Linked DNA regions of Caenorhabditis elegans. The protein of the gene in region 1 purifies or fractionates together with the protein of each later gene. This does not show direct contact. Each region holds a gene or a part of one and is shown in the gene's direction. Other genes may lie near its edges.

Region 1 (3,973 bases):
TTTCTTTTTTGATCAACATGGTTAGTATCTTCAGTTTTTGTGTTGATTCGGTCAAATATTGCTGAAAGAATGAAAGATTAATTCAAAATTTAGACTCAGTAGTTACCGAGACAATTGCGGGACTTATATTATTATTCTCAAGTGTGCTCTCCTGGGTCGGAAGTAGACTAGCAATTTCACTGATAGGACGTACCAACTTGCATTCGATATTGGAAAATACATCACGAACTCTGGAAACATTCTAAGAATAGCACAAATTTTGCGAATATTGCTCGAACCTCGGATTATCAGCTTCAATGAGCACAGGTCTTTCCATTTTACCTTTGCAAAACTCGAGTGTTTCGGTTAACGAGGCAACTGAACTTGAGAAATGATACGCGAAGATGAATCGTGTCAAAGAACTTTCAAAAGTTTGAGCGAGACGTCCGAGTGAGTCGGCAAACTCACTGTTCCCCTTCAACTTCTCGGCATTATTAATGATAACAAAACGTAGAACAGATATAAAATCATCCAACTGTTCCATTTCATTCTTCAGCTTATCGATATACTCTTTGATTTTTTTGAATGAACCAATGAAAACTCTAGATCTATTCGATGTCATGAATTCATTTGACAGCTCAGTTGTGTCTAGATTTGTTATATGTGTATTTGGACGAGTGGAATTAGAACTTCTTCTCTTGTTGAGTAGGCCTCTCATTACAGATTTCGAGCGTTTACCGTCTGTAGTTATAATAATGCATCGCGGAAACGGTTTCTGAAATTAGAATCAGTTATCACTTCCACTAGCTTGGCTAACCCTATGCGAACGAAATCTGTCGATGGAGTGCAAGATGGGTTGTCCGTAGTAAAACTCGTGATTTGGGCCTGAATGAATGCAAAACAAATGTTCGCCGTTGTGAAAACGCCCGAGACTGCAATATAAAGCATCTTGCAATGTTCTCCATGGACTGTAGCCTCGGCGGCCACTGAAAATATGAATGTATTTTCAGAATTAACGACGGGATCGAATGACCTGATTGAAAACTTCATCAGCTTCCTCGTTATTTGCAGCGACCCGGTTTCAGACGATCTCACATACGCTACTTCTTCAAAGTATTAATTTCGATGGTATCTTTAGTATGATATTTCAAACCTTCTCTTGAAGCTGCCGGTCCCCACTCTGGGTTATGCGCTCGAGCCTGGAAAACATGAAATAATTGCAGTCATTCATTAATCTCAACTTCTTTGACCGAAAAACATGATCTCCTTGCATTGCCCAATCCATCAAGATCAAAAGCATTCACGACACCTGAAATGAATAAAATAAATATCCCATTTAGCTCATCAAAAATTGTCACCCATGCTACATATGCCGATTCCATTGGAGTTATCCATTTCTTTGATACTTATCTAAATACTTCCATTCAAATCCTGTTATTTAAACCCGTGCGCGATATCTGAACAACTCCGGAGTGTTTTTCAATGCTCGACTCGCTCCAGCAATCGATAAACAGAATGGGAATCGGTTTCGCTGCGTTCAAAACATCGGCCGGAATATTCTGGTTTCTGAGACAACGAAACGTGAAACATCTATCAAGTTTTCAACCTTTTTTCGAAGCCATGATTAGTATCATAATTTAAAACCTGTTTTTTTGCTTGACGTTTTTGCATATTTCAATCAAAACCACCTTTCATATCGCTTTGATTTTCAATTTTAGAACAAAGCCCCGCCTACAATTGCCTGATTTCGTTCTACGCGAGCTGTTTGCTTGCGAATCGATAAAGTGTCGGTTGTGTGGCAAGTGCGCTCCACTGTGCAGGTCTCGCAGCGATTGCCATTTTCCACCGTAGTTCCCTCCAATGTCTTCTCCATTTTCGTAATTTTTTGGTTCGCCCAAATTTTTTTTCGTCATTTTTTGCCTGAAATGTTCGTTTCTTCTCAATTTTTCTTGGATTTTAAGAGTAGATTTGAGAATAGTGGATGATTCTAGTCGATTCAGATCGACTGGAGCGTGATTTAAATCCATGACTCTAAGTGAAATGGGATAATTCTCAATCTTACTCGGCTCTCCCACGGCTGAGGTATGTATTTTTCGTAATTTCGCTTTTCGTTTTTGTTAAATAATCGATTTTTGTAGTATGGGACGTCCAGAGTTCAATCGTGGCGGCGGCGGCGGAGGTAAACTGAATTTCAGGATTTTTTCGTATTATAAATATTATTTTTCAGGTTTCCGAGGTGGACGCGGTGGAGACCGTGGTGGTAGCAGAGGTGGATTTGGAGGCGGTGGTCGTGGAGGATATGGCGGAGGTGATCGTGGCAGTTTCGGTGGAGGTGATCGCGGAGGCTTCAGAGGAGGACGCGGAGGTGGAGACCGCGGTGGTTTCCGTGGAGGAAGAGGCGGTGGTGATCGGTTTGTGTTTTATAATTCTGTTCGCCATCAAAACGATAATTTTTCAGAGGTGGTTTTGGTGGCCGTGGATCACCAAGAGGAGGATTCGGAGGACGTGGATCTCCAAGAGGCGGAAGAGGATCACCACGTGGTGGACGCGGAGGAGCCGGTGGAATGCGAGGAGGAAAGACTGTCGTTGTCGAACCACATCGTCTCGGTGGAGTATTCATCGTGAAAGGAAAGGAAGATGCTCTTGCCACAAAGAACATGGTTGTGGGAGAGTCCGTGTACGGAGAGAAGAGAGTGTCCGTCGATGACGGAGCTGGCTCAATCGAGTACCGTGTGTGGAATCCATTCCGTTCTAAGCTCGCTGCTTCCATCATGGGAGGATTGGAGAACACTCACATCAAGCCAGGAACCAAACTTCTCTATCTCGGAGCTGCTTCTGGAACTACTGTTTCCCATTGTTCTGACGTCGTTGGACCAGAAGGAATCGTTTATGCTGTTGAGTTCTCTCACAGATCTGGACGTGACCTTTTGGGAGTTGCCAAGAAGAGACCAAACGTTGTCCCAATTGTCGAAGATGCCAGACATCCACACAAGTACCGCATGCTTGTCGGTAAGTATTAAATTTAAGCATTTTTGTGTTTAATATTTATATTACAGGAATGGTCGATGTCATCTTTTCTGATGTTGCTCAGCCAGATCAAGCTCGTATTGTTGCTCTCAATGCCCAAAACTTCCTTCGCAACGGTGGACATGCCGTCATCTCTATCAAAGCTAATTGCATTGACAGTACTGCTGAGCCCGAGGCTGTATTTGCTGGTGAAGTCAACAAGCTGAAGGAGGAGAAGTTCAAGCCACTTGAGCAGGTAACCCTGGAGCCGTATGAGAGAGACCACGCTGTCGTGGTTGCTGTCTACCGCCCAGTCAAGGGAAAGAAGGTCTGATCTCCAAAATCATCGTTACATTTTTTTGTTTTGTTATTTTGTTACATGTATACCTCCATCTTGATCGTTAACACTTGTTTTACTTGTTTCCCAATAAAATGTTGTTGATGCTGTCATGTTAGGGATGTTTTACTTTTATCTTTACTTGGTTCTCAACCTTGCCGATATTTCTATTCTACTTTAATTGTAACCTTTATTTTGTTCTTTGTTTAATATATTATTACAGGGTAATGACGTCTACCGTGCAATCGGTTCAGACCTTCGGGCGCAAGAAGACTGCCACCGCTGTCGCTCACTGCAAAAAGGGACAAGGACTTATCAAGGTCAACGGTCGCCCACTTGAGTTCTTGGAGCCACAGATCCTGCGCATCAAGCTTCAGGTTTTTGTTCCGACATTAAATTCCAACTAACTTGTATTTTTCAGGAGCCACTTCTCCTCGTCGGAAAGGAACGCTTCCAGGATGTCGACATCAGAATCCGTGTTAGCGGTGGAGGACACGTTGCCCAGATCTACGCTGTCCGTCAAGCCCTTGCCAAGGCTCTCGTTGCCTACTACCACAAGTACGTTGACGAGCAGAGCAAGAGAGAATTGAAGAACATCTTCGCCGCTTACGACAAGTCCCTTTTGGTTGCTGACCCAAGACGCCGTGAGTC
Region 2 (2,521 bases), on another chromosome or scaffold:
CTAAACATCCGGGAGGTGCCAAGGTAACTTTTTTTCAAGTTTTAGGATATTTTACTAATCTCAAACTTTTTATAGGTTCTGAATCGTTTGGCTGGAGAAGAAATTGGAGAATTTATCAGAGGAGAAAAAAGGATAATGGGTGTACGTCATGAGCACTCGGAAGCCGCTTATAATATGCTCGAGAGATATAATGTGAATGCAATTCAAAAAGTTCGTTCCTTCCATCAAATCTAATTATTAATATTTCTAAAATTCTAGGGTGATCCATTGATTGAGTCTAAATCCGGAATGCTTTTCAAAGTTGGATCTCTTGGCTCTGAATATTGGCATTGGATTCATCAACCATATGATGGAACTTTAAGGTATTGATGATCTCGACTTTTCAATGCAAATTTTCACTTTTTTTCAGACTTTTCGATTCGGATGTGTTGGAAAGCATGACAAGAACAGCTTGGTGGGTGGTCCCTGCTGTTTGGATGCCGATCGTCATTACTTTTTCTATCCTCTCAGTGCTCTCATTTTCAACATCCACCGATGTTTATAACTCGATTCTCCTGTGGTCTGCCTGGTTCGTCATTGGAGTTTTGACATGGACTCTCACTGAATACAGTCTTCATCGATGGGTTTTCCATTGGAAGCCGTCTCCAGATTCGCCGAATCAGATTCTTCTTCATTTCTTGGCTCATGGACTTCACCATAAAACACCGATGGACGGAGACCGCCTTGTGTTCCCTCCGGTTCCAGCTACTTTGATTGTTGGAATTTTCTATTTAATCTACTCCAATACCTTCCAATGGTCAGTATTAAACCTTTCCTGGTTCCCATATTCAGTTAATCGTTTTAGGCCAGTGTTTTGCGCGTTTGGCGCTGGAAAGTTATTTGGATATGTAACCTACGATATGGTACACTATTATTTACATCACGGAAGTCCTCGTCCACGCAGCAATTTACATTTTAGAAAAGTATATCATCATAATCACCACTTCAAAAACTTTGACGTCGGTAAGTTACATTTAACGGGATTTTGTTTAAAAATCAATTTTTAATTTGTTATTTTTAAGTCAAGAACATTAAAAACTGTTTTTTAATTGAGATTTTCTATAATCTGCAAATTGTCGTGAAATATAATGTTCTCTGACGGAAAATTACACAGATTTGCGATGGAGCGCGTTTGCACTTTCATTTTCGCAATCGAAATTTTTCTATCATTTTCCCTATTTCAGGCCTATTTTCATTTTTCAGGCTTCGGAATTTCGACTTCTCTTTGGGATTATGTTTTCCACACACTCGGAATGGGCCCATTATAATAATACATAGATGTTTTTTCGGAAAATTTGTTGTTTATTGAGTGAACTCTGCCTCACGTTTTTTATCTCTAAGTCTCTTGTCCCGATTCACTTTTCTCACGATCCACTATACCCGTTGTACATATATATTTATCGATTTACCTTTTCTTTTCTCGTACGCCAGATTAGTTCAACTTGTTTTCACATTTTATCTATATAGATCAGCTACTCAGCACGTGCCTATTATCCTCACTTCTTACCGGTTTCCATCAAACATTTTGTGATATTCCTTCTTGTTTTGTTTTCTTTCTGTTATGCGTGAAATTTGGAATAATTTTTAAAAATATCTAATGAAATCACCCCTTCATTCTTTCTCGCTAATTCTTTTTTTCGTTGCAATGCGCCGTATTTATTTCATATTTCTCTATAGTTTCAGAAGTTTTAGAAATCATTGATAGTTTCAGAACTCAGTCTACTTTCAACGGACAATGTTCTTGAGATACTTCTTGGACGAGAACCAACAAAGAGTGTACACTTTGAAGAGAACTGCTCCATCTGGAGAGCAAACTCTTACCGCTCATCCAGCTCGCTTTTCGCCGGAAGACAAGAACTCCAAATATCGCATCATCATCAAGAAGCGCTTCGGACTCTTGCCAACCCAGAAGGCAAAGACCGTTTGCTAAAATGCTGGTTTGGGAGTGGCGCCGCATGTTGCGGCAAAAAATCCGCTCTTTCACCCCCAATAAACCTATCAATTATCAACAGGTAATTTACAAATCTCGCATTTTTCCAAACGATATTTTATAATTTCAGGTGTCTCGTCGTCGTATCATCGTCTCTTTTGTTCTTTTCTTCGTTGGATGGAAAGCTTTTGGTTATACTCTCAACGATATGTTCCTTTGGACTGTCGATGAGCAAACTATGCAAGGTCGCTTTTTAACTCCACAAGAAGGCAAAGATCGAAGGTTTGTGTAAATTGAAAAAATCATTGATAATATTTTCATGGTTTCAGAGAGGCCCTAGAACGACAACGAGATCCCAAGTTACGCATCAAACCCCCAATTGTTTCGAAATACGATCTTGACGACTAGCTTTTAGTCTTTTTTCCACCGTTTTCTCTTATTCTTTTTGTACTATTCTTGTTGTTTTCTTCTCATTGTTGTTGTCTCTCAAATAAAGTATGAAATGTTGAAAAAGTGAGGAATTGTATTGCAAGTTGAATCCTCATTACAAAT
Region 3 (6,024 bases), on another chromosome or scaffold:
ATGTTAACCAACATAATAACTTTTTTTGAAAACTAACGCAATGAGTAAAATGAAAACTTACTTGACATGTTCTGGAAGAAGAACTTTAGTGCGCAATTTCTCTACAACAATATCATTGAACACATGATCGAACAACTTTGTTTTGAGAGCATACTGATTTCCTTTGCTGTACAAATACTCTTCCGATGGCAAATTGTATCCGATGACATACGACGTCTTCCATCCTCCAAAGAGTGGGAATCGTGGACGAATCTCAACGTCAACGCTGTCAGCACGGATTCGTACAGCGGATGTAGAAATGTTTCCGATCTCATCACGATAATAGATATCTTTAGCTTGAGCAGGAAGAACTGTGGTAAACTGTTGGAGTGCTGGTTGGCGACGTCCACGACGGTCCATTTGGTAATCGATTCTTGAGAATGGACCATCAAGCTCAGCTCCCTTGTGAACCAATTCAATGTACTCCTCCACAGCGATGTTTCCCCAGTGAGAAACCTCGATGAATCTTTCCACGATGGTGGCAATAACGAATGGCGAGTTATTTTCATAATGAACTTTGACTGGTTTCGTCTCAAAAGCTGGGATATTAACATATGGTCCGTAGATGACACGTTCCGTTTCTTGTTTCGATGGAGAAACTGTGGTTGCGGATAGAAGCTTGCCTCCTTGAGTGGTTCTAATAGTTGTTTTTTGGGTCACAGTTTCGTACAGGGAAGGAACGTATGCAGATGTGTGAAGAACAACAAATTGACTGTCAGATTGCTGAATCTTGGATGGGAGTGGCTCAAGTACTTGTGTGATACGAAGATTGATTCTTATGGTAACTTTGGCTCCCTTGGCAACAGGAGTTCGGAGGTCTACTTCGTAAACTGCAAGATCCTTTTCGGCTGGTTTTTCAGAAATTTTCAATTTTCCTTTGCTTCCATCGATTCCAGCAGAAATGAAAGAAAGAGTAGCAGATTCTTCTTTAGACAAAGCAATCTGAAAAATAAAGTTGAAATATAGGAAATATAGTGAATTTTCAGGAAAAATATATCTACATACCAAAACTTTCGATTGAGGTCCATTTCCAACGTTCTCAAATGAATACAATGTCGAAACCTTGACAATTTGTGACGTGGCATCGATGGTTCGGTCAACATTAGCGGCTTTCCAAGCGTCTTCAGCGAAAACCGCCCCCAGGAGAGCGATGGCAAATAGCAATCGCATCTGGAAAAATTAGATATACAATCAAAAATGCAGAAAACCCAAAAATGTCATATTAAAACGTTTCAAGAATGAAATTCGACTGATCGAGCAAGACGACATCTATTTGGAATTTAATTAATCAGCTCGTGTTAAAAAATTATCTATTATTACAATCTCAGCACAGAGTAACTTTATTTTGTCACAAAATCATTTAGCAGCAAAAATTCGCATGTACAGACTAGAAAAATGATATTTTTGTTTGGTGAAATCAGCAAAATTCATTATAAGAGCAAATTTCAAGTGTATTATATTGATTTGATGCATAAATTCTGCGAAAATCTATCTTTAAATTACAATAATTTCAGCAAAAAAAAGAGAAAGACGTGGTAAACTCGTCCACGTATTTTGAATCGGAGCCATTCGTGGCGAGACCCACCAGCCGGCATGATGACTGCGCCTTTAAACAAAGTCTGTTCAAATTATCATTTTTTCCGCGAACCGGCGCGGATTTTCAGATTTTCTAATCCAATTGTCATCGTTTTGTTGTTTTTTTATTCTTTTATTCGGATTAGATGTATTTCACTCTTAGTTTCTATTCCTTTTTTCCAAACTCTGACTCTCAAAATAGTTATTTTTCGATGTTTTCATAAAGTTGAAAAATATTCACGTTTTCGAGGGAATTAGTATTTGAATACGCTGTTATAGTTTCTTCGTGACTTAACTGTTTTGTTAATTCTATAAAATTCATTTCGAAATCTCAGCTTCTCTTTCGAATACATATATTTTGAAGGATCGAAAAATGGTGGCGACTACTCAACAGACACCAAAAGAGGCGGACAAAAAGAAAGCCGACGATAAAAAAGTTCCCGAGAAAGCTGAGCCAAAAAAAGAAGAGATGGTTAGTTTAAAGAATAACTATTGTTTAAGCCGTAATGAGACTTATAGCTTATTTATTTCAGAGCGAAGAGGATCAAAAACTCGAGGAGGATCTCAATCTTCTTGTTCAGCGTTTATCTGAACCGGACACAACACTTTACAAGCCATCACTGGAGACTATGCGGACATTGATTCGTGCTTCAACCACATCGATGACCTCTGTTCCAAAACCTCTCAAGTTTATGCGTCCGCATTACAATAAAATGAAGGAGATTTTCACATCGATCGTGGCGCCTGACGTTAAGAAACTTTGCGCAGATATCATTTCAGTGCTCGCAATGACATCAGATGAGCGAACCGACACGATCAACTATCGTATTCTTGGATCACACGAGCCGATCGGGGATTGGGGACATGAATACGTTCGTCATTTGGCGATGGAAATGTCAGAGGAGTGGAAGAAGGAAGGCACTTCGGATGCGAGAAAAGCTGAACTCCTTAAGTTGACTCAGGATATTGTCAGCCATCACATGAAACACAACGCAGAAGTTGAAGCGTGCGATTTGCTCATCGAAATTGAGCGTATTGATTTGCTGATCTCTTATGTCCAAGAAGTTGATCACCAACGTGTGTGCCTTTATCTTCTTTCATGTGCCCCATTGACTCCAGACCCGGATAACATTATTCTTATTCGCACTGCTCTCCAACTCTATTTGAAATTCAACCGGTATCTTGAAGCTGTTAGATGTGCTATCATGGTCAACGATATTCCACAGGTTCATCAAATATTTGCGAAGGCATCTGACCCGTAAGTTAAATATAACGTCTCTTACTTTCCTAAAGAAAAGTTTTCAGATTGCTTCGAAAGCAAATGGCTATCTTGCTCGGTCGCCATCAGATTTTCCTTGACTACGAGGGATCTGCAGATTCGGATGCTCTTGCCGAACTGAATTCCAATGCTCATCTCTATGAATACTTCCACTCCTTGGCTCGTGAGCTCGACATTATGGAGCCTAAAACTCCAGAAGGAATTTACAAATCTCATTTGGAACATTCCCGGCCATTCGGAAACTCTGCTCAGCCAGACTCTACTCGCATGAATCTCGCCGCTGCGTTGGTGAATGGATTCGTGAACTGTGGATTCGGAGTTGATAAAATGATGGCTGAAACAGAGGAAGCCTCCAGATGGTTCTACAAGAACAAGGAATATGGAATGCTTACTGCAGCCGCCTCACAGGGTCTTATCTGGAGATGGGATATCGATACCGGCCTGGCACAATGCGACAGATTCTTGTATATCAATGACGATTATATCAAGGCTGGAACCCTTTTGGCTATTGGTATTATTTCCTCTGGAATTCAAGATGCTTGTGACCCTGCTTCCGCACTTCTCCTTGATCATGTTCAATCTGATCGGTCAATTATGAGAGTAGGATCAATTCTTGGACTTGGACTTGCCTACGCTAATTCCAAAAGAGAAACCGTTACAAAGAATGAGGAACGCGGTGTTATTTTCGAGCTCAAGAAAGTTCTTTCTGATCAAAAGCCATCGGCTATTCCTGAAGTTAAAGGACTTGCTGGACTTTCTCTTGGCCTCATTCTTGTTGGAACTGCTGATGCGGAAGCTGCGATGGAGATGCTTCAAGCTCTAATGGATAAAAGCGAAACTGAGCTCACAGATCCAAATATGCGTTTCCTTGCATTGGGAATTGCATTGATCTTCTTGCAAACTCAGGACAAGAGTGATGTGTTTGTCGAAAGTCTCCGTTCACTTCCTGATCCATTTGGAGCGATGGTAAGTATTATTTGTTCTAGATCACCTCGAGTTTTGGCTATTCCCTTGTTCATATCATAATGAATACAATTTCAGGTTTCTACGCTCGTTGAAGTTTGTGCATACGCAGGAACTGGAAATGTTTTGAAAATCCAGAAATTGCTCCATCTCTGCTCTGAACACTACGAGACGCCAGCAGCTGAGAAGAAAACTGCCGCTTCTCGTGGACCGCGTGGACCAGCCCCAGCTGCTGCTACACCTGCTCGTCCTGCTGCGCAACCTGGAAATGTCAACGTCGCTGGCACTCCAGCCCCAACTGGAACACCCGCCGTTGCCCCAGCTGCTCCGAGACGCGACCTTCCAGGAGCCGCAAGTGCTGCTACACCAGGAGCTCCAGAGACTGCTGCCGCCGACGCTACTCCAGCACCACCTGCCAAGCCAGACTTGTCATCGCAACAGGCGGTTGCTGTACTCGGAATTGGTCTGATTGCTATGGGAGATGACATCGGATCTCAGATGGCTCTTCGCATGTTCGGACATCTCATCAGATATGGAGAACCAGTTATCCGTCGTGCTGTTCCCTTGGCGTTGTCACTTCTCTCCGTCTCAAATCCTCAATTGAACATTTTGGAAACTCTGTCCAAGTTCTCTCACGATTCTGACGCTGATACCGCTCACAATGCTATTTTCGCGATGGGACTTGTTGGAGCAGGAACAAACAATGCTCGTCTTGTTGCTATGCTCCGAAACCTGGCTTCTTATCACTACAAGGATCAAGTTTCTCTAATGCTGGTCAGAATTGCACAAGGACTTACTCATCTCGGAAAAGGAACAATGACGTTGAACCCATGGCATTCTGATAGGCAATTATTGTCTCCAAGTGCTTTGGCTTCTCTCCTTTCAATTTGCTTCTCTTTCCTCGACGCCAATAACACGGTTAGTGCAAGATTGATATTTCTACCATAATTTATTTCAAATTTAGATTCTCAACAACCGTCAGCATTACTTGCTCTACACGTTGGTGCTCGCAATGCAACCAAGAATGCTTACCACACTGGTAGAAGACGAAATGAAGCCTGGAAGCTTGAAACAGGTATAATTTTTTTAAAAGTTTCAACTCTCCAATGTGATTTTACAGTTGAACGTTTCTGTTCGTGTTGGTCAAGCCGTTGACGTTGTTGCTCAAGCCGGAAAGCCAAAGACAATCACTGGATTCCAAACTCATACTACGCCAGTCTTGCTTGCCCATGGTGAACGTGCCGAGTTGGCGAACGATGAATGTATGCCATCCTAACATTTGATAATTAATTTTTAACTAAAATATTTCAGATCTCTCTGTGACTCCACATCTTGAAGGATTGGTTATTTTGAAGAAGAATCCAGATTATCAGCCGGTTGTTGTATCAACTAAGAAGTAACCAACAAATTTATGGATCTAATTTATTTTTCTCCCCCTTTTCTCCCATCTAAATTATCCGTTTTGACCCGTTTTATTGTGCACAATCCGATTGCATTCGCTCTCTGCCCGATTTCCCGTTTTTCTGTCAATTTTCCCTCTCCCTCATCATTTTTTCTTTGAAAAAAACGTGTACACTTTAAATTTGAGTGGGACGGTATTCGAGTAAATTATTACTTTCAATCTTATCATCCTGGGTTTTATATATGTATTAATATTTATTGATCACAGGAATTTGAAGATCTTCTAGGTATCCTTATCAAAGTATCGAATATATCAGAAAATCCGTCAAGGTGGCGATTGTTCGACATTAGATTTTCAGCATCGTTCGCATACATCTGGAAATAAAATTTAGAATGTTCAAATGTGAGTTTGGAAATTTTAGTTTTTCAGTTTTTAGAAAAGTTTAATGAATTATTACACTCACCTCAAAAGTAGCCTTTTTATCCATAAAAACATCTTTCATTTCATCAATTTCATTAATAATATCACTTGTCAAATATATAACAACAAGTGTCATAATTGCCATAAAACATAAAATTCCAATAGCAGCAAAATCAGCGATGAAACGAAATTTGTATAAAAATTCGGATGTATTCATAGTTTCGAAAAAACTATAAAGTTTCAAAATTTGATGTATTAAATGGAAAAGTAATAGAAAGAAGAAGCAAATGACCAATACAATTAGACAAAGAATTGAAAACTACAGAAAACAGGTGATAAAAGATAA

What was found. The genes of interacting proteins can lie anywhere in the genome.
Region 2: the proteins of fib-1 (region 1) and nola-3 fractionate together in Caenorhabditis elegans (co-fractionation; one large-scale study listed by BioGRID). This does not show direct contact.
Region 3: the proteins of fib-1 (region 1) and rpn-1 fractionate together in Caenorhabditis elegans (co-fractionation; one large-scale study listed by BioGRID). This does not show direct contact.

What each region holds. Positions count from the first base shown.
Region 1 is NC_003283.11:15,000,114-15,004,086, reverse strand, and holds fib-1 (rRNA 2'-O-methyltransferase fibrillarin), read left to right. Parts: upstream 1-1,977; 5' UTR 1,978-2,061; intron 2,062-2,117; 5' UTR 2,118-2,118; coding exon 2,119-2,158; intron 2,159-2,206; coding exon 2,207-2,390; intron 2,391-2,437; coding exon 2,438-2,988; intron 2,989-3,035; coding exon 3,036-3,319; 3' UTR 3,320-3,434; downstream 3,435-3,973. Other genes in the region: mut-15 (MUTator), read right to left, coding at 1-61, 107-230, 279-754, 797-965, 1,013-1,085, 1,133-1,178, 1,221-1,288, 1,338-1,374; rps-16 (Small ribosomal subunit protein uS9), read left to right, coding at 3,550-3,699, 3,744-3,973. UniProt on the Caenorhabditis elegans protein: S-adenosyl-L-methionine-dependent methyltransferase that has the ability to methylate both RNAs and proteins. Involved in pre-rRNA processing.
Region 2 is NC_003279.8:10,177,268-10,179,788, forward strand, and holds nola-3 (Putative H/ACA ribonucleoprotein complex subunit 3), read left to right. Parts: upstream 1-1,774; coding exon 1,775-1,969; downstream 1,970-2,521. Other genes in the region: fath-1 (Fatty acid 2-hydroxylase), read left to right, coding at 1-23, 76-210, 259-362, 410-796, 845-1,002, 1,243-1,307; C25A1.16 (uncharacterized protein), read left to right, coding at 1,971-2,051, 2,100-2,251, 2,299-2,377. UniProt on the Caenorhabditis elegans protein: Required for ribosome biogenesis. Part of a complex which catalyzes pseudouridylation of rRNA. This involves the isomerization of uridine such that the ribose is subsequently attached to C5, instead of the normal N1.
Region 3 is NC_003282.8:6,905,868-6,911,891, reverse strand, and holds rpn-1 (26S proteasome non-ATPase regulatory subunit 2), read left to right. Parts: upstream 1-1,978; 5' UTR 1,979-1,987; coding exon 1,988-2,086; intron 2,087-2,147; coding exon 2,148-2,872; intron 2,873-2,919; coding exon 2,920-3,859; intron 3,860-3,934; coding exon 3,935-4,774; intron 4,775-4,820; coding exon 4,821-4,931; intron 4,932-4,976; coding exon 4,977-5,118; intron 5,119-5,167; coding exon 5,168-5,256; 3' UTR 5,257-5,472; downstream 5,473-6,024. Other genes in the region: ribo-1 (Dolichyl-diphosphooligosaccharide--protein glycosyltransferase subunit 1), read right to left, coding at 62-981, 1,045-1,209; T22D1.17 (Col_cuticle_N domain-containing protein), read right to left, coding at 5,513-5,632, 5,722-5,895.